2 linked regions of the Rhinolophus ferrumequinum genome follow. The protein of the gene in region 2 interacts with the protein of the main gene of each other region in a pairwise test. Links are inferred from orthologs where the notes say so. Each region holds a gene or a part of one and is shown on either strand. Other genes may lie near its edges.

Region 1 (15,073 bases), on a different chromosome or scaffold from region 2:
TTGAAGCACATCTTCCTATTTCATTAGACATTTCTATATCTCAGTGATCTGCAATTTCTATGGCTTCAATATCTAGGCTGATAATCCTCAAATCCTTATCATCTACCCAGTGTCTCTGTTGAATTCCATATCCACAGATACACAAAGACCTCAAACTCAACATGTACAAAATAACAATTGCAAGCCTTAGAAATTCCTCGTGTGTCCCTTTTAAATGAATGACAGTCTCCACCTATCCGGTGGCCCAACACAGAAAATTAGGTGGACTCCTCATCCATCCTTCTTCACCGAATTGGTCATCATGTCCACGTATGTCTACATCTCTCAAATGTGTCTGTGTTCCTAATCCCCCTCAGTCATTACTTAAATCAGTCCATCATCACACTTGCCTGAAATGTCTCCTTATTCATCTTAGTCCCCCCTACAATCAACTCTCTACAAACAGAGTAAACTTTAAAAGTATAGAACTAATCATAATATCTCTGTGTTCAAAATTCTTCTTTTAGAAAAAGGACCAAATTCCTCAGGGACTGGCTTTTGCTACTCTCTCCAGAGGATCACAGAGTTAAAAATGGAAGGCAGGACAGCACAGGGTTAAGAGCACAGACTCTTGAGTAAGTTTGAATTCAAATCATGGCTATACCACTTACTAGTTGTGTAACCGTGAGCCATTATCCTTATCCTTTCTGTGTCTCAGTTTCTTTACTTGTAACATGGGGAAAATGTCACCTATCTTATATAATAAATATCAAAGGAGGAATAATGAATTAATGCATGTAAAATATCTGGCACATAGTAAGGACTCTACGCTAGCTATTTTTATCAACGTTCTAGCCAAAATGAGTAACTGTAGTTCCCTGAATACACCATACTATCTCTTACTTCTAATTAGCAAATGCTGTGTCTTCTTCTCAGAACGTCCTTTCCTTAACCATGTCATCCCATTCTTTCTGGCAGGCTAAGACCTACTTCAGGTCTCAGTTTACAGATCACTTCCTGAACCTCATGACTGATTTAAGTATTCCTCCCCAGAGTAGCCCAGAATATTCATATATACTTATATATGCCCCGAATATTGTATTATTCCTATGTATTATGTATTATTTTGTATTATTCCTATATATTCCTATGTGTTATTCCTATATATTTATTACTGACAGTGAATATCACTGAGAAGCAGAATATAGTTGCCCACTATTCTCCTTAACATCTACCCCATTCTCTGGCATGCTGTAAACACTCAGTAAAAGTGAATGACTCGTTAAGGGTAAAAGAGAAATTGCCAAAGCAACTCCTACCCACATTCTATCTCAAGGAACCTAGCAACTATAAAGGTACATACGCCGTACATTCAGATTTTCTGTGCTTGTGCCTATGAATAAAGATAATACCTAGCCTAAGATATTAATGAACAGGTAGTTCTGATTAGCTAAGGTGTGTGGTACGAATGATAAGAAGTTGACTAACATATGGGCTAGACAGAAGAAAAATAGCACAGAAAACCACACAGATATCCCCCTAAGCAATTATTTTCCTGCATATCATAGGTTGGATCCTATATGATTATTAAGAAATCCATAGATTTGTTATGTTCTACAGAGTCTTATGCTCTAAGACCTTAATCCTAACTTTTAGGTGGCATCAATTCCATACTTTTCCACTGCAAAAACTGTAGAGATAGCATAACTATTACAACTCTTCCAAATTATACAGTAAAATAGACATATTAAAATGGGGATGCTTTTCCTTACAAATCAATTTATCACGGATTCTCTTTAAATAGCAACGCACCTAATAATCACTGTTGTTTACTTAAAATTTATAACCATCTATTTCCAAGAGAACAATGGATGAAATAAGATTATCAGGATATACTACAACATTGATCTTCTACAGCACACAAAGGTAGGACAATCCTCTGGGCATGTGGGATGGGACAGTTACGGGCACTAGGGATGGGACAGTTATGGGCATTAGGGATGAGACAGTTACCACAATTAGGCAGCAAATTCTGTACTAAGTTTACTGACAGCTGAGGCAAAATAAAAAGATGTTATTTTCTGATAGGAAGTACAAATTTATTTACAGGAAACAATTTTTTTCTCAAACAAAATTTAAGTGAACATTGCACGAATTATTTTATAAATAACAAGGAATAATATAAGAGGTAATATCAAACTATGTTTGTATAAAAAGATAACATGTCGTGATTTAAAATATGCATTGATTTATAAAATGCTGGCATCACACAACTTTTGAAGAACCTGTATGTTACATAAGGTGAGGTATACCTGAAAACAAATCTGATTGATCATTATTGAATACATCATTAAAAGATTAATTTCTAAGTCTGATACTAACATATTAATAAATACCCCCCAAAAAATCTTTTCACCCAAAATAAACTATGGCAAATAAGAAAATCCATTTTTTTGAATCCCTATTAGTTTCTTCATACTAATTTTCCAGACCAAATCATCAACTTTATGTAAACAATTCTAATGTCTTGAGAAAAATGTACCTCCAAATATAGAGAATTGATCTCCAAGTCATAGTCACTAGAAGTACCTGATCCAATATACTTTCAAGATGTGATGACAACACGAACTATGATATAAAACCTTAGAGATAAGAATACATCAATTTTCACATGAGTCATAAAAATTGATATTGCTACCAATAATTATAAAAAGCATAACCAGGAATTTTTTAAGTAAATTGAACAATTAAGAGTCATCAAAAAAATGTGCCTTACTTGTTCATTAACTTTCTTCTCCTTCTCCAACTCCTTTTCCATGTCCTCCAATTCTCTATCTTTTTGTTCCAATTGCTTTTCAAGTTGGCAAATTTCATCACGTAAAAACCTAGTGTCACGTCCACCTGCAGACTGCTGTGCCATCTTAAAGTAATAAAACAAAAGTATAAATTAATTCCATTACATTTGGGATTCAAATGAATCAACAATAAATAATTATCTTCACTTTACATGTGTATTATAATCAGCATCAGGTGTTTAAAATCATGTTAGCTAAAGAAACATTTTTAAAAATTTAGCTTTAGTTTGCAGGCTGACAGCCCTTAAGCTTTTCCTGATCCACCCAGAGCTATGAAGAATTGATTGTCAATCACTCAGGACCTGTTATAGCCTCTGAGCTAAGGTACCAGACTACCCTCCAGTCATAGAACATAGGTGATGAATTATCTAGCTTCTCCCTGAGCATCAGAGCTCTGAAACCAGGCTACAAACCACCAGAGCTTCCATCCCAGTCATTGACCTCTGGTGCTCTTAACTTGCCCTTTCCCTCGTACCACAGACTATTTAGACCAGTGTTATCCAACAGGGCTTTTTAAAATAATGGAAATGTTCTCTGCACACCCAGTACAGTAGCCACCATCTTTATGTGGCTATTGAGCACTTGAAACTATGGCCAGTGCAACTAAAGAACTGAATGTTTAATTTTAATGAATTTCAATGTAAATAGCCACAAGTGGTTAGTGCTATGATACTGGACAGCCCAAACTTAGCTTATCTTGAAAATCCTGAAGCCAACGACATCCATTTTGCTTCATTTCCTGTTATTTTGGGACATGGTCCAAAACATCAAATCTTTTGATCATCTAATCTGTCTCACATTGATCACTTCACTGTACAGTTCTGTTATCCCTCTCAACCAATTTTTTCTCCTTCTTTCCCTCATTCCAAAAGCTTTCCATTGTGCTCTTGAAAATCCTTTCAAGATAAATTAATACTTCACATCTTCAACCTTTTTACTGAATCATCCTTTCCAACTCCCAGCCTTCACTGCAATTGGCTCCGTTAGTATACTAATTCCTTTGGAAGTCCTTCAGTTGGGAGGTGCTCGTTCACATCCCATATACTTCGTGGTCAAGAGTGGGTGTTGATTCCCACTTCCAACTTCCACACTATCACTCCTGTACCATCCTGTAAAAACTGCTGCTTTGAACCTCACATGATATCCAGCTTTCCAGTCTCTACCTACTCATGATAGCAGCCAACTACTAACATACCAGTCACTCACTCACAAAGTTCATTGAGGAATTTTTGGCATATTGCTCACAGTCTTTCATCAAAAGCCCCTCTAAACAATTTCCGTGTGTATACAACTTTCATGCTTGGTCTTACTTTTTTTTTTTACTTGCTTCTTGAATTCAGCAGAGCCTCCTACTCCCAGGCCCCACACCAGGACCTTGTCCAAACAGGAATATCTCCTACATTATTCCCACGATACCTGCCCTTTGACCTTCCAGGACCCTACAATCCCTGGACTCCTCTTCTCCCCAGCTCTCTGGCCAAACAGTAACACACAATGGATCAGACTTCAAACTTCACTTAATAAATATTTATTGGGATGGTTGATATTTCCCTAGACACTAGATATACAGTAGGGAATAAAAACTAAACCACCCAAGTTCACAGAGTTAATACATAGAAGAATCAGGATTTGAACTCAAAATTGTCTGACTACAGATCTAGCAATCTCCAGCTCATTCTTCACTATTATCTCAAGCTTTATCTGACTTCCTGAAAATCTGACCACACATCTCCCACTCTTAAAGTTAGCAGATCACCTTCTCTCCATCTTCTCAACTCCCAGTCACTAAACCCACAAACAACGGCTTCTGTAAATATCCATTCTTCCTCCCTTCCTCTTACAAAGGAAAGAGGTCCTTCTTTCTTTTCAGGCTAACCTATTTGTATCACATTCCTCCCCACATTTTCAGGAATCTCAAAATGTATTTAGTTCCTTAACAATACTTTCATATTTTGGATCCTGGCTTTCTCAAAAGCTACTTCTACTATACCCTCTGTCACTATTCCTCAAATTCCAATGTGCCTTGCTCCACCTCAGTTACTAGTAATCCTTTGTATATCTCTCTAAACTGTAAGCTTCATGAGGTTATTGAATGTTTTTATTTTGTTCACAATTAGATGATCAATTCTTAATAGAATTTAAGGTACATAATAGACATGACAAATATATATTTTACATTTATTACATTACTGAACAAATAATTATGAATACAGTGTCATTCTTGTAATTTTTACAGCCAACAATTATCAAAATTATCAAACTAATAATTCAAAATAATAAAATTAACAACAAATTACACCATAGGGAATATGAAAAGACATACCTCCAGTTCATTTTCCAATTTCATCACTTTAGTTTTTAATTGATTTTCTATTTCAAAAAAAAGAAATGTTTCAATTGGTCAGATTTATATCAAAACAAGCTTTTAAAATTTTTTCAATAAAATTATTTTTAAAGAGTCCATTGTGACTGTAAAAAGGTAATATAAGAGAAAAATAACAAATTTACACCAGACCCGTGAAATAGGAGTTCTAGAAACAGCTTTCAAAATAAATTGAGTATATACATTTTACAGACTTACATCAAAGTTAATTTCTCTATTGCTTAGTGAATAAATGGAATCCACTATCTAATATCATAATAAACTTTTTCCAAGGCATTTACCAAATTTTGCTTGTTCTTCTCCAGCTTTTTCAACTTCTTCCAAAGCTAGCTCTACTTCTTGAGCTTTCATCTAAACAGTAAAAAAAAAAAAAAAGTGACTTCAATATGCCTTTATACTAGAATGCAAGCACTGAAAATAAGGATTTTATTTGCAATCCCAATACTTAGTGTCTCCAATGTCTATCACATGGAGATCTTCGGCAAATATTTGTTAAATGAATACATGATTTTCTTTCTTAAGATTATAATTTCTAGATTCTTAACAGTTTGAAACATCTTTGATTCCTCTTTATCCTCAAGTCTTATATCCAGTATTGCAACTTTTCCCTTTGTTTTCCATTATCTTTTTTTCTATTCTTTTCTACTATACCTTCTTTTTCTATTCTAATTGTCATTATGCTAGTCCATAATTTGAAGTCTAACCTCCTTCATCATGTTATGTCTAAACAGCTTCAATTCCCTTCAATGTGTCCCATTAACATACTTAGTTTAGCCTTCCCAAGGCATATTTTGGTATCTATCATTGTGGCTCAAAAACCTTTAATGGCTGACAGCATAAAATATCACTTCAAGTCCTTGACAAAGCTGTCAAATTATATATACCCAACATTTGTTTCCTCTATGACCAGCTATAAACTTTCTGCACTTGTCTCCTCAATATAAAGAATACACACATTTTCCATTACCAGTTTTTATTTATGGTAACCTCCAGCTCTAGAATCTCCTTAACATTATACCCCTGCCTTCCACTTACCTAAAACTACTCATCACTCTTTGACCTTTATGAGGTCTTCTCACATATAAATCTCTTCCTTTTCTAACAAATCCCTATAGTAGTTATCTGCATTTTTCATTTCTACCTCATCATTGTTAACAAAATTAACACAGGACCTTCCTACGTTATTTTTAAACATACACATTCTGTTTCCCCCACACATTCTTTTAGGAAATTTAGAGCAGAAACTACCAATGTTTTTGCACACTAAAATTATCAATCACATTTGAAGATCTACTTTTTGTGCTGATTTAGACATTACAAAGTACTTTCACAGAGATTAACACTTAAGAACAGATTCTTGAATTTCTCTAATAGTCAAACCTGTTATTAAAATCTACTGCATACAAACCTTCATCAGTGACTGAGTAATTCTGAAAAGGTGTATCACATTTTCTTGACTTTCACTTTTTAGCTCATTTACTTCCACCTAAGTAAACAGAGAAGAAACTATTTTATATTACATAACACTTAAGCAAAATATAAGAATTCTTCCAGTTATACCATCCAGTGATTTCAGGAACAACTTAATCATAGTTGATGTATCTACGTATTATTTATCAATTAAGCACCTTGGATAAAGAAACCAATAAATTATCTGCCAATTCTTCTTGACGAGGCAGGTCATCTGGGTCAACTTTTATTATTTCTTTCCAGTTTATATTAGGTGGCATCTTGAATTCTTTAACAACGCTTTACCTTCTGTAACAAAACAGATGGGTATTAGCATTTTGAAGGGAAACAGCGTTTCTGTTTTTACAGTAATTTAGTGTTTATAGATTACATTATTGTAACCTCGGTGTTAGCAAATAACTATGGCTCCTTAATAGTATAACCGATAAGTGGGCAAAACAGCCTTGATCAAAATATAGCAGTCGGCACAAACCATCAGATATTGCATCGGCTAAATAAAGTATGACAGCTCCCTTGCTAAAACTAATCTAGGTCAGAACTAAGATTCTGAGTCCCCTTCTCCATGATCCTTACCACCAAGGCGCGCGAACACCTAATTGGGCGGAGTGCTTGGAAGGCTGAAATTGACCCTTGATTCGGAAAAGCAGCAACTGTGGGTTTAAAAAAAAGTGCATACATAAACGACTGAAATGAGTGCAGTCGCGCAGGAGAAACCAGGGCTGAAGCGAGACGGCAGATGCATTGCGGACCAAAGACTAAGGGGCGGGGAAGATGGGCTATTTGGTGTGGGCCCTGAGGCTTAAAGAACCTGAGTGGGAAGAGATTCGCTGCTTCGCCTCACCAGGATCCACCCACCAAGCCTGGCAACCAGCGGCGGCTCCTTATTTACCGCATCCACCAGACCTGACCCGGCTGCCACGCCTGACCGCTCCCCAGCGCGGTTCCAACCCCACGCTGGATCCAGCTAACTGATCCCGAGCAGCAAGAGCGGCGGCGGCTGCTAGGCGACACCATTCCCCACCCAGTCAAGGCCAAAACAAGGCCCCGGATGCATGCGGAGCCTACATTTCACGACTATGGGTGATGCTTTACGTTTAGATTCCCCAGAGGAGTTCCGGGACTCTGTATTAAGGAGGAGGAGAAGGGCGTGGGCTTAGGACTCCAAGTCCCAGAGTGCAGTGCTTTTGGAGGCTTGTGCATCCTGGGAATTGAAGTCTCTGAGAAGTGGAGGCGGGCCTTTCCCGGCATGCAAAGCGGGAGGCTGCGACTGTACCGGGCCGCGGGGTAAAGATCGGGAGGCGGGAGGCGCAGTGACTGAGGCGCATCTGCACTGTTGACCATGACTGTGCCTTCGGTGGCGTCGCTCGTTGGCCCGTTTTTTCTGAGGTTTCCCTAAGCCATCCCTCGGTGGAACTGCTCCCAGGTGAAGTCAGAGTGTGGGTCAGCGGCGGGGGAGGTGTTGATGGGAGCGGTCCTGGCTTACAGCAGCTCCGAGCATTGGGGAGGAAGGGCCCTGTCGGAGTCTGAAGAGGTGGGACGACCCCGCCTTCTCCTTAGGCGTTTGCAAGGGACGCCCCGGGTGGTGCCCTCTGTAAGAAGAAGGGCGGGAGGGGGGAAGTTTTAGCCTTTTTTGGTGTCAGAATCTGGCTCTGTATAGTGGAGTGGGGGCCGTGCAATCGAGGTCCTGATTTGGGGGCGAGTGAAGGATTGAGAAGACACGACACCGCATCCTACGACCTCGCCCCCCTTACCTGTAGCACTTTTACCTTCGCGGTTTGAAGGACTTGGAAGGCTGAGGAGTTAGTGTAGATTGAAGGCTCTAGAAAAGAGAGGTTAGAACTTGTCTAGGCCACTGCTAGGGGTGGAGAGAGAAGGAGCCTCGGTACTCAGCATTCCTATTGCTGTCACTTACTTGGTTCCCGAGGCTCCCCTTCTAGGAAGGTGCCTTCTCAGGTGTGTACAACTCGTATTTGTGCAAGTTTTGCTCATCCGGCTGCTCTCAGCCATTCTGGAGTATAATACACCACTAGGTAATTTTGTTAAGGAGCCATAGATTTGAAATCTAAATGGCATTTTTCAACTGTTTGGACCAGCGCCTCATCTTTTTTTTTTTTTTTTTTTAAGCACTTTGGTTTTTCTTACTATAGTTGATACTAAAATTTCCTTTTGAAAATAAATAATAGATTTCTTTCCAAACCATGGGTGGTTCATAGCTTAGTAGAAAATAAAAACAAATACGGATTTTTGAGGTACATTTAAAGACAGTCATCAGATTTCTGAGAATGATCATTTCTGTCTAATCGTTTACTGTAAGATAGTATGTCACATACTATTCATTATCTTTTTTAAAAAAACCATGTTCTACATTACATCTTGCAGAACTTATTTATAACTGGAAATTTGTAACTTTTGACCAGTCTGCTTTTTGTTTCTGTGAATCCTGTTTTTTTGGGTTCCTCATCTAAGTGAGATAGTTAATATTTTTCTTTGTCTAACTTACTTCACTTAGCATAATACTCCTGAGGCCCATTCATGCAAATGGCAAGATTTCCTTCTTTTTATAGATGATTAATATGCCGTTGTGTTCATATGCCACGTTTTGTTGATCCATTCAGCCCTCGGTGGACACTTAGGTTCTTACCATGGGTTGGCTGTTGTAAATAATCTGTAGTGAATATGGGGGTGCAGGTATCTCTTTGAGATAGTGATTTCATTTCCTTCAGACACATACCCAAAAGTAGAATTGCAGGATAATATGGCACTTCATACATTTTCAGGGCACTTCCATACTAGTTTCCATAGTGGCTGCACCGATTTACATTCCCACCAACAGTAAACAGGGTTTTCTTTTCTCTACATGCTTGCCAACACTCGTCTCTTGTGTTTTTGATAGCAACCGTTCTAACTGGAGTGAGGTGATATTTCATTGTGGTTTTGATTTGCATTTCCCTGGTGACTAGTGGTGAGCCCCTTTTCATTAACCTTTTCATTAAGACAGTTTGCGTCTTCTTTGAAAGATATTCCTCTGCCTATTTCTTAATTGGATTATTTGGGGTTTTTTCCTTTTCTGTTGAGTTGTATGAGTCTTTTACATAGTTTGTTTATTAGCCCCTTATCAGATACATATTTGTAAATATTTTCTACTATTCGATAGGTTGGTTGTTTTTGTTTTTTTCATTTTGTTTATGGTTCCCATTGCTGTGCAGAAGCTTTTTAGTTTAACGTAGTCCAACTTGTTTATTCTTGCTTTTGGTGCCTTTGCTTTTGGGGTCCAATCCAAAAAACCATTGCCCAAACCAGTCTTAAATAGCTTATCCCCTGTTTTATTACAGGAGTTTTATGATCTCAGGACTTATGTTCAAGTCTTTCGTTCATTTTGAGTTGATTTTTGTGAGTGGGGTAAGATAGCAGTCTAGTTTCATTCTGCATGTGGCTGTCCAGTTTTCCCGACATCATTTGTTAAAGAGACTCTCCTTTCCCCATTGTATATTCTTGGTCCCTCTGTTTATTTCTGAGCTCTCTATTCCGTTTCATTGGTCTATGTGTGTGTTTTTTATACCAGTACTGTTACTGGGAGTGACGTTTTTCCTCGGTTCTTGTCTTAAAGGAAAGAATTCAGTCAAGAGGCCGAATTGGTGCAGCGTAGGACAGCAAGCAGTTTATTAGTAAAAGCAAGTACACTCCCAGACATGGAGCCCGCTGACCCAAGAGAAGGAAGCAGCCTCCTTACATTGTGTGAGGGTTTTTCTTTCTATAGGTAGAATTGTCTCCTCCTCCCCTTGTCCAGTGTCTTTCTCTCTTTCTGCGGGTGTGTCCATCCTCTCTTCCTGTTGTTTCCTGGGGCGCAAGTGTGAACCCATTAATTTCCCATGATGTATTTGAGAAGCTCGTTAAAAAGGGGCAAACTATAATTGTATGGTCCAAAGAAGCAGGATGTACATTCTGATAACCGGGTTGTTTTCCCTCCTTCTCCAGCATTTCTTTTTGCTTCTAAGGACATATCTTTTTGATAAGTAGGAGCAGCTGCAAGGGGCCTTATAACCAGGGCTAGTTCCCTCCTTCTCCTGCTCATTTCTACCTTTCTACCTACTCTACCAATACCATGCTGTTCTATTTGCTATAGCTTTGTCATTATCTCATTCAATCTTCATAGCAATCCAATGAAATAGGTCCTTATATGAGGTGTGACAATTAAGTTCGCAAACTTGTCACAACCTGTTGGTAACCTTTTTTGATATCAGAGGAATTACTCATTATGAATTTGTACCAACTGGACAAACAGTTAACCACCTTTACTATTTGGAAGTGCTGAAAAGGCTGCGTGAAAGAGTTAGACCTGAACTTTTCGCCAACAGTTCATGGCTCTTGCATCACAACAATGGCACTGTCTGTGAGAGAGTTTTTAGCCAGTAAACAAATAACGGTATTGGAACACCCTCCCTACTCACCTGATCGGTCCCCCAATGACTTCTTTCTTTACCTGAAGAGAAAGGAAATATTGAAAGAAAGACATTTTGATGACATTCAGGACATCAAGGGTAATACGTACAATGACAGCTCTGATGGCCATTCCAGGAAAAGAGTTCCAAAATTGCTTTGAAGGGTGGACTAGGTGCTGGCATCGGTGCACAGCTTCCCAAGGGGAGTACTTCGAAGGTGACCACAGTGATATTCAGCAATGAGGTCTATAGCACTTTTTCTAGGATGAGTTCGCGAACTTAATTGTCTGACCCCATATTGTCATCATTTTCCAACTAAGTTAAGAAACAGAGGCTTGGAGAGGTTAAGTACTCTGTTCAAACTTAAATAGTGTGATTGAACACAGATCTTTGTGGCTGGAGGACGTTTGTAAGTGCTATGCTGCCTCCTCATGCATGCTGGGAAACAATACTGTCAAGTAAGTGCTTGTACATCGATCTTGCTATTTATATGAAACATTATCATATTCTAATTATGCAACTTTGTTTACTCAAGAAGTTGAATTAAATATTTTTCATGTTCAGTGTTTTTAATTCATAATTTAGCAGGGGAAGATAGGAATGAAATCTAGTGTTTGTTGAGCACATACTATGTCATATACTATGCTTCAACTGTATATTTTCATAGTAGAAATCTGTTATTTCTACTACAGCACCTTATTTTTCTTAATTTATTGTAATTATTATTTTCTATTTATTCATCTGCTAGTTTTGTTTTGTTTGTAGTGGTCTTTTCTACCCTCTACTCCCCTCACCCTCTTATTCCCATTTATATTCCCAACAACTCAAGGTACCTGATCTAATGAGTGGGTAAGACAGGAGTCTAGTTTCATTCTTCTGTATGTGGCTGTCCAGTTTTCCCAACATAATTTATTAAAGAGACTGTCCTTTCTCATTTTTCAAGTGTGAAAAACAGGTTCAAAGAAGCTAAGTAATTTCCTAATAATTAATGAAGCTAAGATTGCAACCCAGATCTCAATTATAGTCCTGACAAAATGCAAAATGTTGCTTAAATGTCATTATTTTACTTATTCTAAAAATATTTTTGAGCTTGTACACACTGCTAAATCCTGGGGATACAGCAGAAATGAGTTAGCTATGGTCTAGGTCCTAATGCATTATAGTATGTTTGTACTTAACTGAATTAAAAAATTTAACTGAAGATCTAATTCAGTCAACTCTGTATAATTTTGAGGAAAATCACCTAAATTCACCATTATTTTTCATCAGATTTTCTGTATCAGTCAGTTTTCACCAAGAGAAGGGATTTATGTGACATTTTATAAATGGCCTTATTATAGGAATGCTTGCCTGGACCTGCCTTCTTTCTTTTGATTTTATGAGCAGTTTTATCTGACCAAAATCACTACACAAGAAAGACTTGCTTTTTATAATTGCTACCTCTGTTCTCTACCAGCCAACCTATGTTCCTTAGATGTTAGTTCCATTGCCTTTTTGCGCCTTATCAAGAAAATGAGCTTGCTTTTCTCATGTCTGAAAAAAAAAGAAAGAAAGAAAGAAAGAAAAATGCAAGGCCACAGAAATTTAGTATCCACTGTGTATAGTAAGTGTTTTGTTTGGCCTTGTTCTCATGGAGAGGAATAATTGTGCAACAAGCAGACACTTGTCTTCTCTCAACTTCAGGAGACTGGAAAGATTAGTAAGAATCAGTGCGAATGCAGACTTTGCAGGCCAAGGTTTTATGAATTATAAAATAGTAATAGTATATAGTAAATTATTCTTATTCAAAAAGATAAAATAAAATTATTAAATGGAGAAGACTCCTTTTCAGGCTAAATATTCCTAGATTTGATCAAATTTTCCTACAGGTTTATTTTTTCCACAATTGTGGTCTTCATCTGCTGCTGGATTTTTTGCACATATGTAGTGACATCCCATTTTTGTAAGCAAACATAAGTTAGTCATCCCATCTACTCAGATATGCATCAGTGAATATGCTTATGTTCCTAGGAGAAGAACTTGAAATTCCCTGCCTTAGTCTGTTCATGCTGCTATTAACAGAATACCTTAGATTAGGTGGTTTATAAACAATAGGAATTTATTTCTCACAGTTCCGGAGGCTGGTAAGTCGAAGATCAAAGGGATCAGCAGATTCAGTACCTGGTTAGGACCCACTTCCTGGTTCATAGAGGGTGTGTTTTCACTGTGTCTTCACATGGCAGAAGGGGCCAGGGGTCACTTTTATAAGGGCACTAATCCCACTCATGAGGGCTCCACCCTAACGAGGTAATCACCACTCAAATGTTCCACCTCCACATACCATCACACTGGGCATTAGGATTTAACCTGAATTGTAGGGGGGAACACAAACATCCAGTCTTTAGCAATCCCACAATTAACATTTAACAGTGATGTGTTACGTTGTGGCAATAATGGCACCCAGTGAATCATGCCTCCCTCTGTCTCTGCCCTTATGTATCACCCTCCCTTTCCTCCACCCTCTACCACAGGTAGCTCTTTTGGACAGAGCCTAAGATGACTCCACAACTGAGCTTACGACATGCATGAGAACTAGCTCTCCCTTTCTCATAATATGGTCCCTTGGGGAATCTTGAAAAATTCTATTATCTTGGCCCTTTTATAACTTCTCTCACATTGATTCTAGGTTTACTTCCTTGGTTGATAGTAAAAAAAAAAAAAATGCAGTTAAGCAGAGACTTGAAAAGAGCTTGTGCATTAAGACTTGCCCTCCTGTTCTCCTGAGATCACCATTTAAAGTTCAGGCTAACCTACTAAAGGATATGACCACAAGTAGCAGAGACCAGCTCTCTAAGCTGAGACCCCCACCCCTTTAGATATCCAGCTTTAATCGGACAGGTTAACTATAAGCACATGAGTGACCCCAGGCACAACCAGCAGAAGAAATATGTACCGTGTTTCCCCGAAAATAAGACCTAGCCAGACAATCAGCTCTAATGCGTCTTTTGGAGCAAAAATTAATATAAGATCCGGTCTTATATTATATTATACCGGATCTAATATAATATAATATTATATAAGACCGGGTCTTATATTAAAATAGGTTTGAGTCTTATATTAAAATAAGTCCGAGTCTTATATTAATTTTTGCTCCAAAAGATGCATTAGAGCTGATGGTCTGGCTAGGTCTTATTTTCAGGGAAACACAGTATCTATGTCAAATAAAGCCACTTCTTTCAGACAACGGAATTACAGTATTATGGGTCTGGTGAGTCCAAAATCTGTAGAGTAGGCAGGCTGGCAGGCTAGAAACTCTCCAGGAGGACCTGATGCTGCAGTCTTGAGGTAGAGTTTTTTCCTCAGAGTGACTTCAGTTTTGCTCTTAAGGTGATTCAACTGATTAGGTGAGGCCCACTTGCATTATGGAATATAATCTCCGTTACTTGAAGTCATCTGATTGTAGATGTTAACTGCATCTACAAAATACATTCATAGCAACTCCTAAGTTAGAGTTTGAATAGTACTGTGTTTCCCCGAAAATAAGACCGGGTCTTATATTAATTTTTGCTCCAAAAGACGCGTTATGGCTTACGTTCAGGGGATGTTATCCTGAAAAATCATACTAGTACTTATTTTCCGGTTAGGTCTTATTTTCAGGGAAACACGGTAGTATTACTACTGTAGCCTAGACAAGTTGACACATAAAACTTACCGTAATAGTAGTCATCATGAATAATAAACATTTTACAATACCGTCCACTCGATAAAGATTAGCACCTCATTAATCAACCCACTTGGTATTTCTTAAACCCCGCATCCATACCAAGTTTATAAAGGGCCAAGATAATAGAATTTAAAAAGATTAACCAAGGGAGTTTAGTAACGAGAAAAAGGGAGAGAGCTGGTGCTAGTGCATGCTCATGAGCCCAGCTGGGGAGTCATCTGACGTTCTGCCCAAAAAAGACACC
Region 2 (15,670 bases):
GTGGTGGGGCTGATGTGCTGGAGTCAGACAGTCTCACCTGGAAGGGGCTTATGTCCAGCAGGTGAAATGAGGGGTCCTAGGTGACCTGAAACCCACCCACTCCCCAGGAATGAGGTCACTGCAGCACCAGGTAGGACCTTAGGGACCTGGCAGGGTGCTCACAGTTAAAAGTGTAACCAAGACTTGGGGTCCACCAGGGTTCACTACCCTCCTCCTCCCTAAACCAGCTGTGTGACCCTAGGCAAATAAGTTCATGTGCCTGGGCCTCAGTTTCCTGTTATGCAAAATGGGTGAACTATAGCAGGTTGTGAGGATTCAATGAGATGACGTGTGTGATGCGTTGGGCACCCCTGGCACGTAGTATGGCCACTGTGGGAGCAGGCCTTCCTGGAGGAGGGGGCTGGTGGAGCTGAGCCTAGGAAGTATGGGTTGGGCAGGGCACTCGGGAGGCAGGACCAGCATGTGCAAAGGCTCAGAGAATGCCACCCACAACCTCCTCGAAATCAAGGGGACATTGTGTTCAAGAGCATGGGCGGGTTCCTGGCCCCCGACCTGCATTCAAGGGGTGGGGTCTTGGGGAAGCCAGATCCGAGGCCACACTTGCATGTTTCCAGGTGAGGTCCAGAGATATATCCACAGAGGAGTGGAAAGGCTCAGAGACCTACAGCCCCAATACTGCATATGGTAAGACCCCAGCCCTGACCCCAACCTCCAGGGGACCCCCCACCCAGATCCCTGCCACGGCATCCTGGCCTATCCCCTTGTCTTCTCTTCTCCCACCTGGAGGGTGGGAGAGCACATGGACCCCTAAACAGGGCAGGACACCTGGCTGGCGTGGGGGATGTGAACACAGAGACCCTGCTGTCCCACAGGTGTGGACTTCCTGGTACCTGTGATGGGCTATGTCTGCCACATCTGCCACAAGTTCTACCACAGCACCTCGGGGGCGCAGCTCTCCCACTGCAAGTCCTTGGCCCACTTCGAGAACCTGCAGGTGACTCAGACTCTATTCGAGCTGATGGGGCTGATGGCCAATGGCCACCTCCCCGCTATGCTTGACCTCAGCCCCAGGGACACTCCACAGGGAGGCCCTGCCCACGGAGGGACAGAGCTGGGGTGGGGCCGGGCTCTTTCTGCTGTCGTTCTCGGGGGGTTGCTGAGGGACAGGCGGTTAGCTCCAGAGCTCTGGCCCAGGGAGGCTGAGCGTATCACACAGGGTCACATAGCACGTCCAATCTGTCTCAGCCTGGCTGGGGAAGCGGCTGCTGGCCAGCACACCAGGAGGGAGAGAGCCCTGCCTCACCCACACTTTCTATGTCCAGAAATACAAGAAGGCCAAGAAGCCCAGCCCCGCCACCACCAGGCCCGTGAGCCGCCGGTGTGCCATCACCGCCCGGAACGCCTTGACTGCTCTCTTCACCTCCACCGGCCGTTCCCATACGCAGCCCGGCATCCAGGACACAGCCAAACACCCCAGCAAGGTGACGGCCCAGCCCCCCCAGCCCCCACCACCCCGGCGCTCAAACCGCCTCAAAACCTGATAGAAGGAGCTCCCTACACCCACCCCATCTGGGTCCAGATCTGTGCTTTTAGGAGTCTGCATGAACTTGGACACGGTTGGTGTTTTTACTCAAAAATCCAATAAAAGGTAGTTTGGCTGTATAGTGCCCACCAGCACTTGTGTGTGGGGAGACGGGACGGGGAGCACCCCAGCCAGCACCCAGCCTCCAAGACAGTATGAGGGCGGAACCGGCCTAACCAGGGAACCTGGGATCACGAGGCACTTCACCTCTGAGCCTTGCTTTCCCTCTTAATAATGTATCAGGGCGAGGAAAGTACCTTCAAGTAAGGTCTCATTTAATCTTCACGGTGACTCTAGGAGAGACCTCTTGTTTCCTCCAAATTACAAATGAAGAAACTAAGGCCTGGCAAAGTCAAGTGACTTGCTGACGGTCATACATCGGGTGAGTGGCGAGGATGTGACCCCAGGCCGAAGCTCTGCACCCGTCCTAGCCTCTCTCTCCAGCTGGATCCTGTGGAAATTTAAGTGCAGGACGGGGGGGGGGGGGGGGGGCCCTCGCTGCTCCTCTGGTTCTGAGTTCATGGTTCACGCCCTTCTCGTCAGTTGACCTTACAATGAATCATCCGCGAATGTGGCCCAGCCTATGTTGGATCTTTACTTCTGCTATCTCCCCCTTTGGAAAGACCCCTGCAGAGACAAGCGGACCAACCCTATTATTGGCCAACTGGAGAGGGGCCGAGAGCAGGAGGGCGGTGCCCAAGGTTATACAGCATGTTTTGGTGTTGGTTGTCTTAGTGATAAGCCCTAGTACCCAGAGAAGCTAAGCTCATCACACAGCGTCACACAGCATGTCCGATGCTGTCTCAGCCTGGCTGGGGAAGCAGCTGCTGGCCAGGAGCACACCAGGTGGGGAGGAAGTCCTGACTTCACCTGCACCCTACGTCTGGAAATACACGAAAGCCAAGAACCGCAAGCCCACGTGTCGCGAGCGTGTGAGCAACGTCTGGAAAGTCTTGGCCGCTCTGTTCATCTGTCAGCCACAGGGGTCGTCATCCCAGGATACAGAGAGGCGCAGTGGTGTCGGAGACCTGTTTAATGTGGACCTTCAAAGCCTGGGCAGAGTGGAGAGTGCCCTGGAATTATTGGGCAGGCAGGCAAGATAGATGGGTCGCAGGCCCACACCTGGCCCCAGGAGGGGAGGCTGGCTGGTGAGCGCTGGCCCAGACACGCCAAGGGGAGTACCTGAAGGGTGGCCCAGGCAGGCAGACCCACCAGGGGACCTGTAGGCCAGCCCTTAAGAACGTATCTAAGTCAGGTGGTGAGTGCCCAGGCCAGAGCCTGGCCCCGGGAGGCAGGGTTGGGGCCTGGTTGGGGGATCCTGAAGCCTAGGGGCTGGCATCGCTGGGGGCCTCCCCGAGCTGCTGCTGGAACTCAAGGCGTGTCTGCCGGTTGGACTCAAGCAGCTCCTGGAGGCGGGCGTGGAGGTGGTCATTCTTCTCCTCCAGGTGGTCCAGACAGGAATTGATCTGGTCTAACATGGAGTTGATGGCAGCATATTCTGGAAGGAAGAGGAAAGAGAGCCAAGGTCCTGTATCTCCTCAGGGCTCACAGACATCCTTTCCCCATCTATTCCCCAGCCTGCCTCAGTGTCACCATCTGGAAAATGAGTGGATATCAAAGGAGGAAAGGCTTTGGAGACATAATAGTGATACTTTAGCACACCACATTTTTTCTAGGGTTACGGTGGTCAGGGAGATTAGCCAGTGTCCTGCCTGGGAAGTTCTGCCACATGCCAAGTTCTTGCCACATCCTCCATCTGCCTAGAGGCCAGAGCTCACATTCCTGAGTGGAGCAATCAAGGCCTCTGTCCCCAAGCAGGCCCATCTTTCCAGCTCTTCCATGGCCTCTGCCCTCAGGATAAAGCACCGAGAAGACTCCAAAGCCCCACTTCCCTCTCCAGCCTCACCTCCCATGCCTTTGCCTTTCCACTCTCACATCTGCCTTTGCCTGCCTCAGGCCCCTTGAACATGCCATTGCTTCTGCCGGGAATGTACTGTGTCTTGTCTTTCTACTCTCCTCCTGGATGAGTCCCACGTATCCTTCAAGTCTCAGCATGGATGTCGCCACAGGGAGCTCTCAGACTGGACCAGGCCTCTTCCTGATCCCCTTCCTCACACCTCCATGGCCCTCACCTCCGGACTGACTGCTGTGATTATCTGTGTGCTGGTCTGGCTCCCCTATAGAGCTCTGTGAGAGGTGGAATGGTCTTGTGTTCACTGCTGTTTCCCTGAGGCCCCACTGTCACACAATAAACATTTGTTGAATGAATGAATGGATGAATGAATGAATGAAGCCTCTAACTTTCCAGCCTTTCTCCCTTTGCTAAATTGTCCCTGCCGCCCAGAAGGCCTCAACCACAACAGCCATTTAAGGACCAGCTCAAAATACCTCTTCTTCCGAGAAGACTTCCATGGTCTCCACCAGAAACCGTCACTTCCTCTTCCACAGCCAATCCCGACCTGCCTCTCTCAGCAACACAATGTCCCTTAGGACCCAAGGTCTGGGCCTGTGCCCACTGCGGGACCCAGTTCTGAGCCAGCCCATGACTCAGATACACTCCACTGCCAGCTTGGAACAAAGGGGAAGTGGCTGACAGTGTTTGGAAAAAGCCAGGGCTGGAAGAGAGTGTCTGGGATATGGGTGCGAATGAGTGTGCCTTCTGGAGGAAGAGCACCCGTGACCCGGAGTTGGCACACCTCACAGAGGCCAGAGTCCTGGAAAGTCTGTTGGATCTTACAATCCAACCCCCTTGTGGCACAGATAGGGAAACCAAGGCCCACGGAGGTGGCAGAGCCAACTTGGGGAACAGGAACATTTGGGTTTCAGCTCCAGCTCTGCTCCATCTCAGCAAGTTACAGCACCTTCTAGAAAAGGGAGATAAAGAACTAGGTATCTGTGAGGTCTCAAATATATCAAGAACTCAGAGTCTGGCCACAGAAAGTACTTAATAGGTGGTCATTATCAACATGTCACATTTTGTGTCCTGAGACACAGCCAGGAGGATGGGGGAGATGGGTGTCTCCATACCACTGGGGCAGGTTTTATTTGCATCAAGGGTATGTTCCAGTTCCAAGCCTTTGCCTCCCTCCTCCCGCTGTGCTAAGACCTGTGAATCTGCCAGCATCCACTCAATGTGACTCCTGGGAGGCCCTTCCGGACGCTCCCACCACAAGTGCCAGCATGATTACACACATCTGGCCACCGCTCACCAGCAGTGCCTCGGGCAAAGTGGCCAGCCAAACACTTACCCCTGTGGGAGGTCTTCAACCTCTATTAAATGCAAACCCTGGGTGATGAAAGTGTTCTAAAACTAATATAGTGATTGATGCACAACTCTGGATATTCTAAAGCCCAACTAATTGTACAATTTAAATGGGTGAATTGGATAGTATGTGAATTATAGTTCAATAAAGCTGTCACCACAAAAAACACAGATTCCATACTTACCCCACATTTACTAAGTCCTGCACTCTTAAGTTAACGCATCAATTTTTATTACACTAAAGAGAACAACCACTTACTGAACACTTGTATGCTAGGAACCTACTAAGTATTTTCCATTCATTTTTCTATTTCATCCCGACACATCTCAATGCAGGAGACGCTAATCATTATTTTACAGATGGGGAAACTGGGGCTCCAGAGGGTGCGAAGGGAGTTGATGGTTCTCTCTCACAAAACCTCCCCTCCCACCTCCCGCAGTGCTGTGCACTGAAACATGCTAATTTGTAAGCAAGTCACATTCGCTAGGGCTCCAGGCCACACCAGAAAAGGTGGTGGGGGATGCTGACTCAGCAAGGCGGGCGCGCCCACCCAGACAGCCCCTTTGGCTGAGCCAGGAAGGTCCACCGGCCCCGCCCCCTAAGGAGCCTCCGTCCACACACGGGCTGAACGAAGTGGCTGGAGCAAATCTCAAAAAGGCGAGTGTCCCTGGAGAGGCCTTAGTCTCCCCATCTGCAAAACGGGGGGGGGGGGGCTGTCCACAGTTCTCGAATGCCGCTGCCGTTTCCAGGGACGCACTCGCAGGTGCTCGCCCTGAACCCAGAGACGGCACCTGCAGCTGCAACCCACCCAGGGTCGGGGGGTGTTGAGAGGGCTCTCCGGTCCCTTCCAAGCCCCTATCCCCGCACCTACTCCCCTTGCCAGGAAGGTACCACTGAGAAAGCAAAGGTCGTTTCAGCAGTCCCCCTGGATCACCTGCTTCCCCGAAGCCGTCGTCCTCTCCTTCCGCGCCCGCCTCCACCGGTATGCCCAGGTCCCCGTTGGGGCCCGACATTGCGGGCTCGGGCGCCGCAAGGGCCGCAAGACGATGAAACACTGCGACCGTCACGCCGACAGCCGGCGCCGGGCGGAAGGTGGAGGCGACCGATAGACTTCAGGGCCGGAAGGGTGGAACCCCGCCTCCGATTGCGGCCTGGCGGCCGGGGTCCCGCCCTCAAGGCCGGAGTTTCGCGGCCCGAGCTCCGCCCCGCCCCGCCCACAACCAGAACTCCGCTCCCGCCCACCGTCAGGCCCCGCCCCAGAGCCCCGCCCCACGCTGCCTAGCAGTGGAGCCCCGCTCCTCTCCCAGCCTCCGGGTGAGGCCAAACCGGGGCTGCCCGCCGAGAAACCTAGATGGTGGAGGCTCGGGTCCTCAGCAAGGGCGAGCGAGCTGGGCAGACGGCGGGGCAGCCTGGGACCCTCGCCCTGTCCTTTCCTGCCGCTGGGGACCTGCAGATGGGTGAGCCGACGCCTGCCGGTGGGCGAAAACTGAGTCGTGTGGTTTCTAAGGTCCTCTTATGACTTCAGGAAAATTTTCTTTCAGTCGTGGTCTGTGTGGCAGAGTGCTGCATGTGGCTGTTGGTGAAGGAAGGCTGCCATCATTCCCCACCTCTTTTACCAGCTGGGAAAGGGAGGCCTGTCCCAAATCACCCAGCTTGCAAGAGTCGCTCCTGAGCTGCGGTGTGAGCGCCGCCAGGGGCCCAGCTTTGAGTGAGGCCCATGTCCCAGGGGAGAAGGGCTCACTTACTGGAACTACAGTAGCTTCACCACCAAGAGACCCCAGGGCTGCTGCAGCCTGGTCCTGATCTCACACTGGTTGTTGGTAGGCCACCCTCGGGATAGGGGTCAGGTACAGTTATGTTCCTTGACTATGATAATGGAGAGGGATCTTCTTTGTCCCAGAAGCTGTCCCACCATTTCACCTGAGGAAGGTGGCAGTGCGGTTGAATCCACAACCTGTAATCAGGGCCACCACTAACTTGCATATGGGCAGTGCCTTCTTTTCTTTGAATCAGGTTGAGTAGAGGTGAGACCTCAGCCAAACCATTGCCCAAAAAATGTCAGTGACCGGCCGAAATGTGTGTCGTTTTAAGCTGCCAGTTTGTGGTCATTTGTTATAGCAGCAATAGGAAACTAATAAACCAGGTGACCCTGGGGGAAAACACAGAGCCCATTTGTGTCCTCACAGTTTGATCCTGGAAGGCCCAGCAGCCCCGGGTGGTGACGGGAAGCTGCGTTGCTTGGGTCAAGGCAGAGAAACTGTCTCTGCTGCCCAAATCGGAGTCCAAGGCCAGGCTGGCTTGGTGCAGCTTCCACCCCTCAACTAGTGGGGCTCTGGCCAGTTGCCCCCTGGGTGCCCTTCTTGGTGTGGGGCTTTCTGGCCGTGGGCATAGCCCCATCCCTCACTCAGCCCCGGCTGCACCAAGCTGGTCTCTCCCTGGAGTCTGGCCCAGATTTCTGAGGCTGCAGGAGCATCTTGTCGGGCTTGGCTCTCAGGCCTGTCTTGCTTCCTGGAGGCTGAGGCTGCTCACAGCTCCAGTTTCATCCCACTTCTCTGGCCAAGGACGAATGGTGTAGGTGTGCAAGAGAAGCCTGGGTTTCTTCAGAAGCTCACCCCTCTGGCCTCTGACTTTACAAGGGGAGAAGAAGCCGGAGAGGGAGTTCCTGTGTGTGATGCAGACAAACACGGGCTACAGCTGCAGCCTGTGGTGGACAGGGGCTTGTCAGGCGCCAGACACAGACCTAGCCAAGTGGTGGTACAGGCCTGGAGCTCTCAAGCCTTCTGGAATCTGGATTCCTCGCAGCATATTCCCCTCTTCGCCTCCCCTAGCCCTACTGCTGGTAGTCCAGAGGTCATCATAAAAGGGAGGTGTGGGTGAGGGACAGTGCTCTAAATGCAGTCAGCATGGACACTGTCACCCCCCAGTGGGGGCAGGTGGGTGAACACAGGTCCCAGAGGAGGCTCACAGAGGGGCAGGGGACCACCCCTGGTGACCCTCTCTGCCTGACACAACCTCAAGCTGGGCAGGCCTCTGCCCCACCCACTGTTCACCCCTCTTGCCCGGCTGCCATCATTTAGTATCCACAGGGGTCCTAGTGAGTTGTGGATGACAGCACCTCAGCCTCTCCAGTCCCCTCCAGCTGTCCAGTCCTGGCTGGGCTTTGCTATCGGACCCGTTGCAGTGGCCAAGGCATGAGGTGGGGCCCCATTAGTGTTTCCACTGGACTGGGCACCCCTTGGAGGCAGGGATATGTGAGGGCTGCCATTGGTCTGGGGGTGGGCCCAGGACTGGAAGCTAGGAAGTGTTCAGTCAAAGCTGGACTTGGGTTCTGTGGCCTCCAACCCTCACTGAGGACGGCAAGGGAGTCTGGGAATGATGCTAACGAGAGCTTATGCTTTGCCCTTCCCCTTCCCAGATGGCCCAGCGATCAAGGAACACAGACTGGGAGTTTGGGGGCATGTGTTTATTTAGCAGTTGAGGGGGGACTCCATCCGCAGGGTGGCCTGGGGAGCAGCTGGTGGGCCAAACTGTGAGAAGGATCTTCTGGCTCTCTGATTGGAGAATGGGTTGGTAGGGGCAGCTGGGTAGCATCCTGGGCGGAGGTCAGTATGAGGGCAGTGGGGGTGGAGAGAAACAGGAGGCACCTGAGAAGGACACAGGGGAGTAAAGGTGGCAGCAGTGTTGGGTGGGGGAGCAAAGGCAGTCCTGAGGCCCCCTCACCCTGCTTCACCTTGGTTGCCATCAGTCCCCTCCCCAGCCATACTCACCGCATGCTCATTCGTCATCCATCGATGCACTTGTCTGCAGGGGAAGAGAGTCCATCAGAATGGACAGGAATGTGTGTGTGTGTGTGTGTGTGTGTGTGTGTGTGTGTGGCCCCTGACCACCAGGGCCCCTGCACTGCCCCCAGGCTGCCCTAGGCCCGAGCCTGGCCCAAGAACAGACCTGAGAGTTCCCTTCAGGGATGTGGCAACAGGGCCAGACGATGGGGAAAGGAACTAGGAGAAAGGCCTGAAAAAACCTGGGGTCACCTGTTCTCTAGAGGAGGAAAGTGAGCCCCAGCTACCTGCTTGGGCACCCAGACCTCCTGCCCGTTCACCTGATGAACCCTGGCAGCCCCTCAGGCTGGGACTGCCCAGTGGCTCTTTGAGTGCCTGGCTGGAGCCCCTTGCCCAGGGCGGGCCGCCTGAAGACAAATGTACCTCCCAAGTCAGTGGTGAGGAAAACCCCAGGATGAGGGAGGAGGTGGCCCAGGACAGCAGAACCTGGAGTGTAGGGGAAGGTGGCCCAGGACAAAGGGGTGCCCCAAGACAGCAGGACATGGGGCAAAAGGGAGGTGGCCCCAGGCAGTGAGACTGGGGAAACTCGGACCTGGGCCTGAAACTCTCATCTGGGCAGGCCCAAGTTATCTGTCAGGGAAGAACACGTGGGGCCCAGAACCCGGGGGGCTCCACACACCCCTAGCTGGTGCGTGATCTTCCTGAACCCAAAGTGGCTCCAGTGACTGGAGCAGGGGACCAAGGCCCTCCTCTCTCCTGGAGCAGCGTCAGATGTGGACAGGCCCCGTGTCCCTTTCTCCTCTCCCCAAATGACCATTACCGATCGGGACAGGAAAGAGGATGTGGTCATCAGTGAGGCCCAGAGATTTGGTGAAGCGGATGAAGTCCTCCTTCAGTTCAGGGGTCAGCTCCTTGGTCCTCCCTGTGGCCAAGATGGCCGTAAGTGGCCGGCAGACACTCCATAAATATTGTTGAGTGCACAAATGAGCCTCAGCGCCCTTCCTCATGGAGGGTCTGCAGAAAGCCCTCTCTCCTCCCCAGGGCTTGGAGCGAAGCTGATGGGCTGGTTGGGGGTGAGCCCCTCCAGTGTGACCAGGAGCTGGGTCCCGGACGGGGTGGGTGAACACCCACCATAGAGGGTGATCTTGAAGTTCTCCTGGTTTTGGGAAACTGCCTTGAAGAACACCACGGCAAACTCATTATAGTTGGTGGTCACCACTCGCACAGTGTAGCTCTTTAGATTCGGGTAACCTGCGGGGTGGAGAGAGGGGTCAGCCCTGGCTGGGAGGATGGAGCAGCTCCTTGCTACCCGGTTCCCCGCCCAGGACAGCATCTATGTGGAGGCACAGGGAGGTCTGTGTCCCCTCTGGGCGGATCCCGCTCCCCAGGAATTCCAACCCCAGGGCCCACATCGTTCAGGACTCACCCTTAATATTGCCCAGGTTGAATTCGCCAGGCTGGGAACTTGGGACAAAAGTTCTGATAAAGTAGTCACAGTTCTGGTTCCTGTGGCGGTAAAAGATGTGTGGGTGAGAGGGAAGACACACAGGCGTGGACCCCCTGGGCTGGATGAAGTGGGGGTCAAGGCTGCAGCTGAAGGGGCCAGGATTCTGATTCTGGAGGGGCCAGCCCATCCTCTACCACAGCAGGAGGCCCAGGTCTCCCCCTCTGAGCCCGTCTGGGCTAGCTGACGTGCTCAGACCCTCCCTCCAGCGTCCACTGTCCTTCTGTCTTCAGGACTGTCTCCCCCTGGTGGCCCTCCCTATATACTATCCTCTGCACCCCAGGCATTTGTCTCCTATTCTTATCTTTCTGTTTCCTTCTCTGTGACCTCTCCTGGGGAATTGACCTACCAAGGTTCTAGTCGGCTCCATGCCATGGACTCCCCTAGCTCTTGTGCCAGCCCTGACCTCTCACCCTGTCCCTGGCACCCCAAAGCTGATCTCCCCAAACCCGCTCTTCTCCTGCCTCTTGCTCCACAAGTGCTCTAGCCCCAATCCCCCAGGTGCGAGAGCCAGAAACCCACAGGAGCTGGGTGAGCCCTTGTGTCCCGCCAGTCCTCTCCTCACCGGCTCCCTGGGGTGCCAGTGCCTTAGGCCCCTGGCATTGTGGAACCTGCCCCCCTCCAGGCTGCTCACAAGCCCCTGCCCAGGGCAGCCTGGCAATGCCATGCTTCTGCCTGAAGGAGAGGCTCTCTTCGAGTCTACCAGCCTCTGCTGTGAACCCCCCACATGTCCTGCCAAGGTAGGTTGGCTTCTTCAGGGCCCAGCCCGAAGCCACCTCCCTGGAAGCCCCCAACTGAAGTCCTGGGTGGGGTTCCAGGCTGGGTCCAGTGAGCCTCTTCCTACCCAGGACACCCCTGCTCCCTCTGTCTCGTTTCCTGAGGACTGTGGCCCTCCTTACCACTCTCTGTATGTCTGTACTGAAGTGACCAGTAAATGCTGATTTAATGAAGAAGGGAACAGATACATAAATCCAATACCGAGCAGCAAGATGGAGGGAGGACTACCTGCCAGCCTGCAACGCCCCTTAGCCCTGACATCACTCTGCCCTCAGGCACTGCCAGGGCAGCCCCCCAGGTCCCCATGCTCCCCCAGGAGGAAGCGGCTCTCACTTGAGCAGGATGGAGGTGACATTGTAGCTGTGGTCTTCTTTCAGCTCGTAGGTGGTGGAGTACATCTTAAACTTGCCTTGTTCTTCTTTCGAAAATGCGTTCCCCGCCAGGCCCACCACGTACCACTTCCCCTGGAACTGCAGGGAGGGTGGTGATAGGCAGAGTGGGCCCCACGAGCCCCTCTACCTGGGCCCTAGGGCTCCTGACGGGGCCCTTAGGATCGGGCAGGAGCTAGAGGCCGTCAGACCAGGAAGGAGCCCCGAGTCTGGCAGGGACCCTTGGCAAGTGACCAACTGGCCCCGCTGAGCCTCAGTTTCCTTATCATGCAGAGGGACTGAAGATATTCCCATCCTGCATGTCCTATGGAGACAAGGGAGAGGGTGTGGACCAGGGAAGATCAGTGAAGTCGGCGTGGGTAAGGGGGCACGGGGCATGGCTTCCATCAGGGGACGGAAGGGCATTCTGAGCTGAAGCCTGGGCCCATCCTGCTTCCTAGGACTCTTTGCCTCTTCTTCCTTCTGCTCCCACCCTCCCAGCTGCCCCTCCAGGCCCCTTCCCTACCTGATCATCTTGGAAGTTGGGCTGCAGCGGGACCCTGAGCAGAGAAGGGGCTGGGATGAGGTTTGGGGTGGCGTCCTGGGCCTGGATCTGCAGGGCTCCCAGCAGGGAGAAGCCCAGCCACAGGAGACCTCGGGGCATGATTTCAGGGCTTAAGAAGCTGGGCAGCTGCTGGGCCTGCAGGTGGTGAAGGAGGAGGAGGTAAGTGAGGAGGCTGGCCGAGGGAACCCTATTTATGGTCCCCCTGTTTGCCGACTCACCCCAGGGTGGAGTGAACTATCCTTTGCCAAACTCAGGAAGAGTGAGGTAAGTACCGCAACTCCTGCCGAAACATTTGGCAGGATTCTTGTCCCTCATGGTTAGGATTGTGCAAGGTGGAGGAACAGGAAGTCCAGGGGAGTCGTGAAGGAACATTCCACAGAGCTCCACACCTCTGGCAAGGACAAAGGCTCCCCCAGTATGCTCTCTCTGCCCCTTCCCTCCTCTCTGGTTGGCCCTGTTCATAGTCAGGAGTCCTAATCTGGCTGAGACATCATCTCTGACCGCCAGGAACTCCTGCTTAGCCCAAGGCCAAGCTGGGTTCTGTGCTGCGAGAGCCCCCACTCCTGGCACCTGATGAATGCAAACAATGCCTTGCCCCCGTTTCCTGGTTCTTGAGGGACAGGGAAGGATGGGGCAGCTAAACGCGGATATTTGTGACAGAGAAGGGCTCTGTGTTGCTTGAGATCACGGGTCCCAGATCCTGCCCCTCCCAGGGGCCCCACACAGGCACTGGCACAGGGTGAGACCTCCCTTCCCCGAGGCAGACCTGGGAGGGCTCCCGCCTTGAGTTGGCCCCTCCCACCCTCCATGCCCCATTTGCAGCTGACCCCTCCGGACACAGACCCCAAGCTGGGCAATTCAGCCGCATAAAATAGCATGGAGGCTGCAGTCCCAGCTCCATGCTGGTGGGGGTGGGAAATGAGGGGCACACCTGCACTGGGTGAGGTAACCTGCGGGAATTGGGGCCTGAAGGCCAGCTTTCTACACTACTGCTCTGGACACCAAGTGCTTTGGGTCACAGAAAGAGCAAGGACTTGGTCTCATCCTTGACAGGTCATTGAGACTATGCACCATCTCTGGCCACAGCCTTGGTGCCCAGGCCTGGGCCCTGGAAGTGTTCCTACCATAGCTGATCCCAGCTTTGTCCTAGAGAGGAGTTTCCTCACTGGGGGTCTGGCCATCCCTGGGAGGTGGTGACGGGTCCCAGCCCCTGGGAAGTGTCTTCCAGATGTCAGCATGAGGACCGAGGCTGTCTAGCTACCTGCCCTGAGGCTGAATTGAGGATTCAGCAGCTTAAGGGAACTGACAGGAGCCCCACTGGCTCTATTCACCTGCTGCTAGGAAACCAGCACCCCCAGCCTGGGCTCTGGGGGGCGGGGGGCAGGCTCCAAGAGAAGTGGCTTTGGACAGGGTCCTGAGCTGTTGAGTAGGGGACAGCCTTGACCATCCTAAGGCAAAGAGGTCCCCTTAGGCTCTGCACTGCTTCCCTGTCTGGGTGATGAAAGAACAGGAAGTGGAGATGAACAAAGCTTCAGGGAACGATGTTGCCACCAAAGCTGCGTGCCCTTCAGAGGTGCCAGTGGCCACCCGCCATCCAAGGGCTCCTCCCCTGCTACTCTCTTTGACCTTAAAAGGTATCTTCAAGCCTGAGGTGACTTCTGGATGTGGAGGAAACTAACAGTGGAGCCCCAAAGAATTTTAACTAGGGGAGGGGCAGTGCCCTGGATCACTGGATGAAATATTCCAGACTCTGAAAGTCAGGGGGCAGAGTGGCCAACAATCCCTGTTATAAACTGGGAAGGTGGGTAAGGCTGGGTCTACAGCATGAGAAAACCGAGGCCAGATACAGGAGGGGAGATGGCCCAGCTCAGGGGCGCTGGCCCCCTGGGTACCGAGAGCTGTGCTGCAGATTCTGCGAGGCCACACATACACAGTGCCGGGGGCACACACACGAGGTGTCGCCACATAAGGGCATCTCTGAGTTTCTGACCAAACCCCCGCAGTGCCCATGCTTCTTTATTCTGGCTCCAGGCCTGTCCAGACCCACTGACTTCGTCTGTCTCTCTGTCATCATCTCTGTGTGGTCTTGGCCTTGGCTGAAACCTGGTACGGCCATCTCATCACTTCTTCCTCACATGGCTGCCTCCTGCCTTCTCTGCTGGCGTCACCCTGGAGGTTGGGCTGGTCCAGGATCTGAGCGAGGAGACGAGATCCGTCCAGGGATTTGAGCCTCAGCAGTGTACAGTGTCCCAGCCATACTTTGTGGGTGTTGTTGGGGGAAAGCATTGAGAGGATGTGACCACCAGTGGACCCTCGAGCTGGGCCCAGGCCTTTGGAGCCTCCTCACCTCTCCTGTCCTTGAAGGTTTGCTCTGCCCACCATTTGCACAGTGGGAGCCGTTGTCAAGCTCGCAGCCCCGAGAGAGCACTGTGGTGTGAGACCATCTGGATTGAACACGTGACTGAGCCCCATGAAGGCCTCTATAAACTTTAAGATTCTGGCGGGAGCGTGTGGAGAGCTACTCGTCTTGTAGCGCCAAGACAAGCCCCGTAAGGAAGTTTCCTCCATGGCTTATTAAACCTGCCACCTACCAATCGGGAGTGGCTGCCTCTTTCTTCAGTCTCTCCTTGCTCTCCGTGTACAGGGGCCAGTTTGTGAACCAGCTGGGATCCACGGACAGTCATGGTTTTATGGCTGGGGCAGAGGTCAGGCCAACAGGAGGTGGGTGCTGGGCTGGTTATAGCTGGAGGGCCGGGATCAGGGAGGATGCTTCTTGCGTTCTGCCTAAGGAAGAGAGCGGTCCTGCAGGCTGGGCCGGAGATAAAGGAGAAATGCTCTGCTCACACTCCTCAGAGTCTAGCAGGGCTTCGGGGGTAGGGTCAGCTCAACTGGGCCTGGGCCTCTGGCCAAGGAGGGGATTCTTGGGTCTCCGTGCCCGGGGCTTGGGGTCTCTGGGGCCCGGGGCTCTCAGAACGGTCTGCACTGTACACGTGGCACTGTGTGGGCAATTCCCCTTGGCCCCTCTCGTTTTCCACTGTGGCCCCTGGGCTGCTCCACCAGCTTCTCTCTCTCTCTCTCTCTCTCTCTCTCGCCCCTACAAATGTCCCAATGAGGCCACAACAAGCCACACAGAAACTCTGGGGCCAAGCCCCTCCTGAGAGAAGCCAGGGCTGGGCCTTCCCAGTCCTGCTCTGGGTCCCCTTTAGCAATGGCAGGACCTTAAACACCATCCACACCTGGGTTTCTCTGTGGCAAGGAGCCAGGAGAAGTCTGGCTGCTCCAGACCTCCCCCACTGTCTCTGGCAGGTGGCTCTCCCCTTCCATACGCCCGACACACAGGGACCCAGGCCCCATGCCTGGTCTAATCCACCCAGGAAGGCACCTAAGTGTTCTGTGTACTTACTGCATCTCAGGAATCCAGTCTAACCCCCTGGACTGGTTTCTGGAAGCTTGTGAGCAGTGGTTAGTCCAGCTACAATGCCTGGGGCAATAGCAATGCCCTGTGACTGGCTAGAAGGTCTGGCCAAGATGTGCCCGGGTAGGGGTTGACTAGGCTTCTTGGGGCCACACTGGGGAGAAGATTCTAAGCGGATGCCCTAGGAGGCATCATGGCACCAGGAACTCTTGGGGTCCACAGATGGGCCGTCCTTGGCCCTGCAGGTCCAGACACCCAGGAGGGGGAAGGCCTGCTCTTCTAGGGCTTTGGCTTGATTCTCTAGTTTCCAGAAGCACCTTTCCAGCCCCTATGCCCCATCTCTCATGCCAGGGCTTACTTAAGAAATACCTGGTGGGGATCGTGCCTGCAGAAAAGCTCCGAAAGTCAGCTCTTTCT

Evidence for each region.
Region 1: the proteins of BBLN (region 2) and CEP290 interact in binary tests that used the Homo sapiens proteins (3 or more experiments, as listed by UniProt). The two-hybrid records come from large-scale screens. The link is inferred for Rhinolophus ferrumequinum from reciprocal best matches to the Homo sapiens genes BBLN and CEP290.

The regions. Positions count from the first base shown.
Region 1 is NC_046293.1:80,222,914-80,237,986, forward strand, and holds the start of CEP290 (centrosomal protein of 290 kDa), read right to left. Parts: upstream 7,712-15,073; 5' UTR 7,496-7,711; exon of another isoform or gene 7,338-7,495; 5' UTR 7,261-7,337; intron 6,976-7,260; 5' UTR 6,948-6,975; coding exon 6,846-6,947; intron 6,704-6,845; coding exon 6,626-6,703; intron 5,569-6,625; coding exon 5,499-5,568; intron 5,205-5,498; coding exon 5,158-5,204; intron 2,900-5,157; coding exon 2,756-2,899; intron 1-2,755. UniProt on the Homo sapiens protein: Involved in early and late steps in cilia formation. Its association with CCP110 is required for inhibition of primary cilia formation by CCP110.
Region 2 is NC_046295.1:77,090,883-77,106,552, reverse strand, and holds BBLN (bublin coiled-coil protein), read right to left. Parts: upstream 6,000-15,670; 5' UTR 5,859-5,999; coding exon 5,780-5,858; intron 3,081-5,779; coding exon 2,908-3,080; 3' UTR 2,598-2,907; downstream 1-2,597. Other genes in the region: CIZ1 (cip1-interacting zinc finger protein), read left to right, coding at 615-684, 873-994, 1,323-1,541. UniProt on the Homo sapiens protein: Essential for intermediate filament organization in intestinal cells, interacts with intermediate filament and regulates intestinal lumen morphology.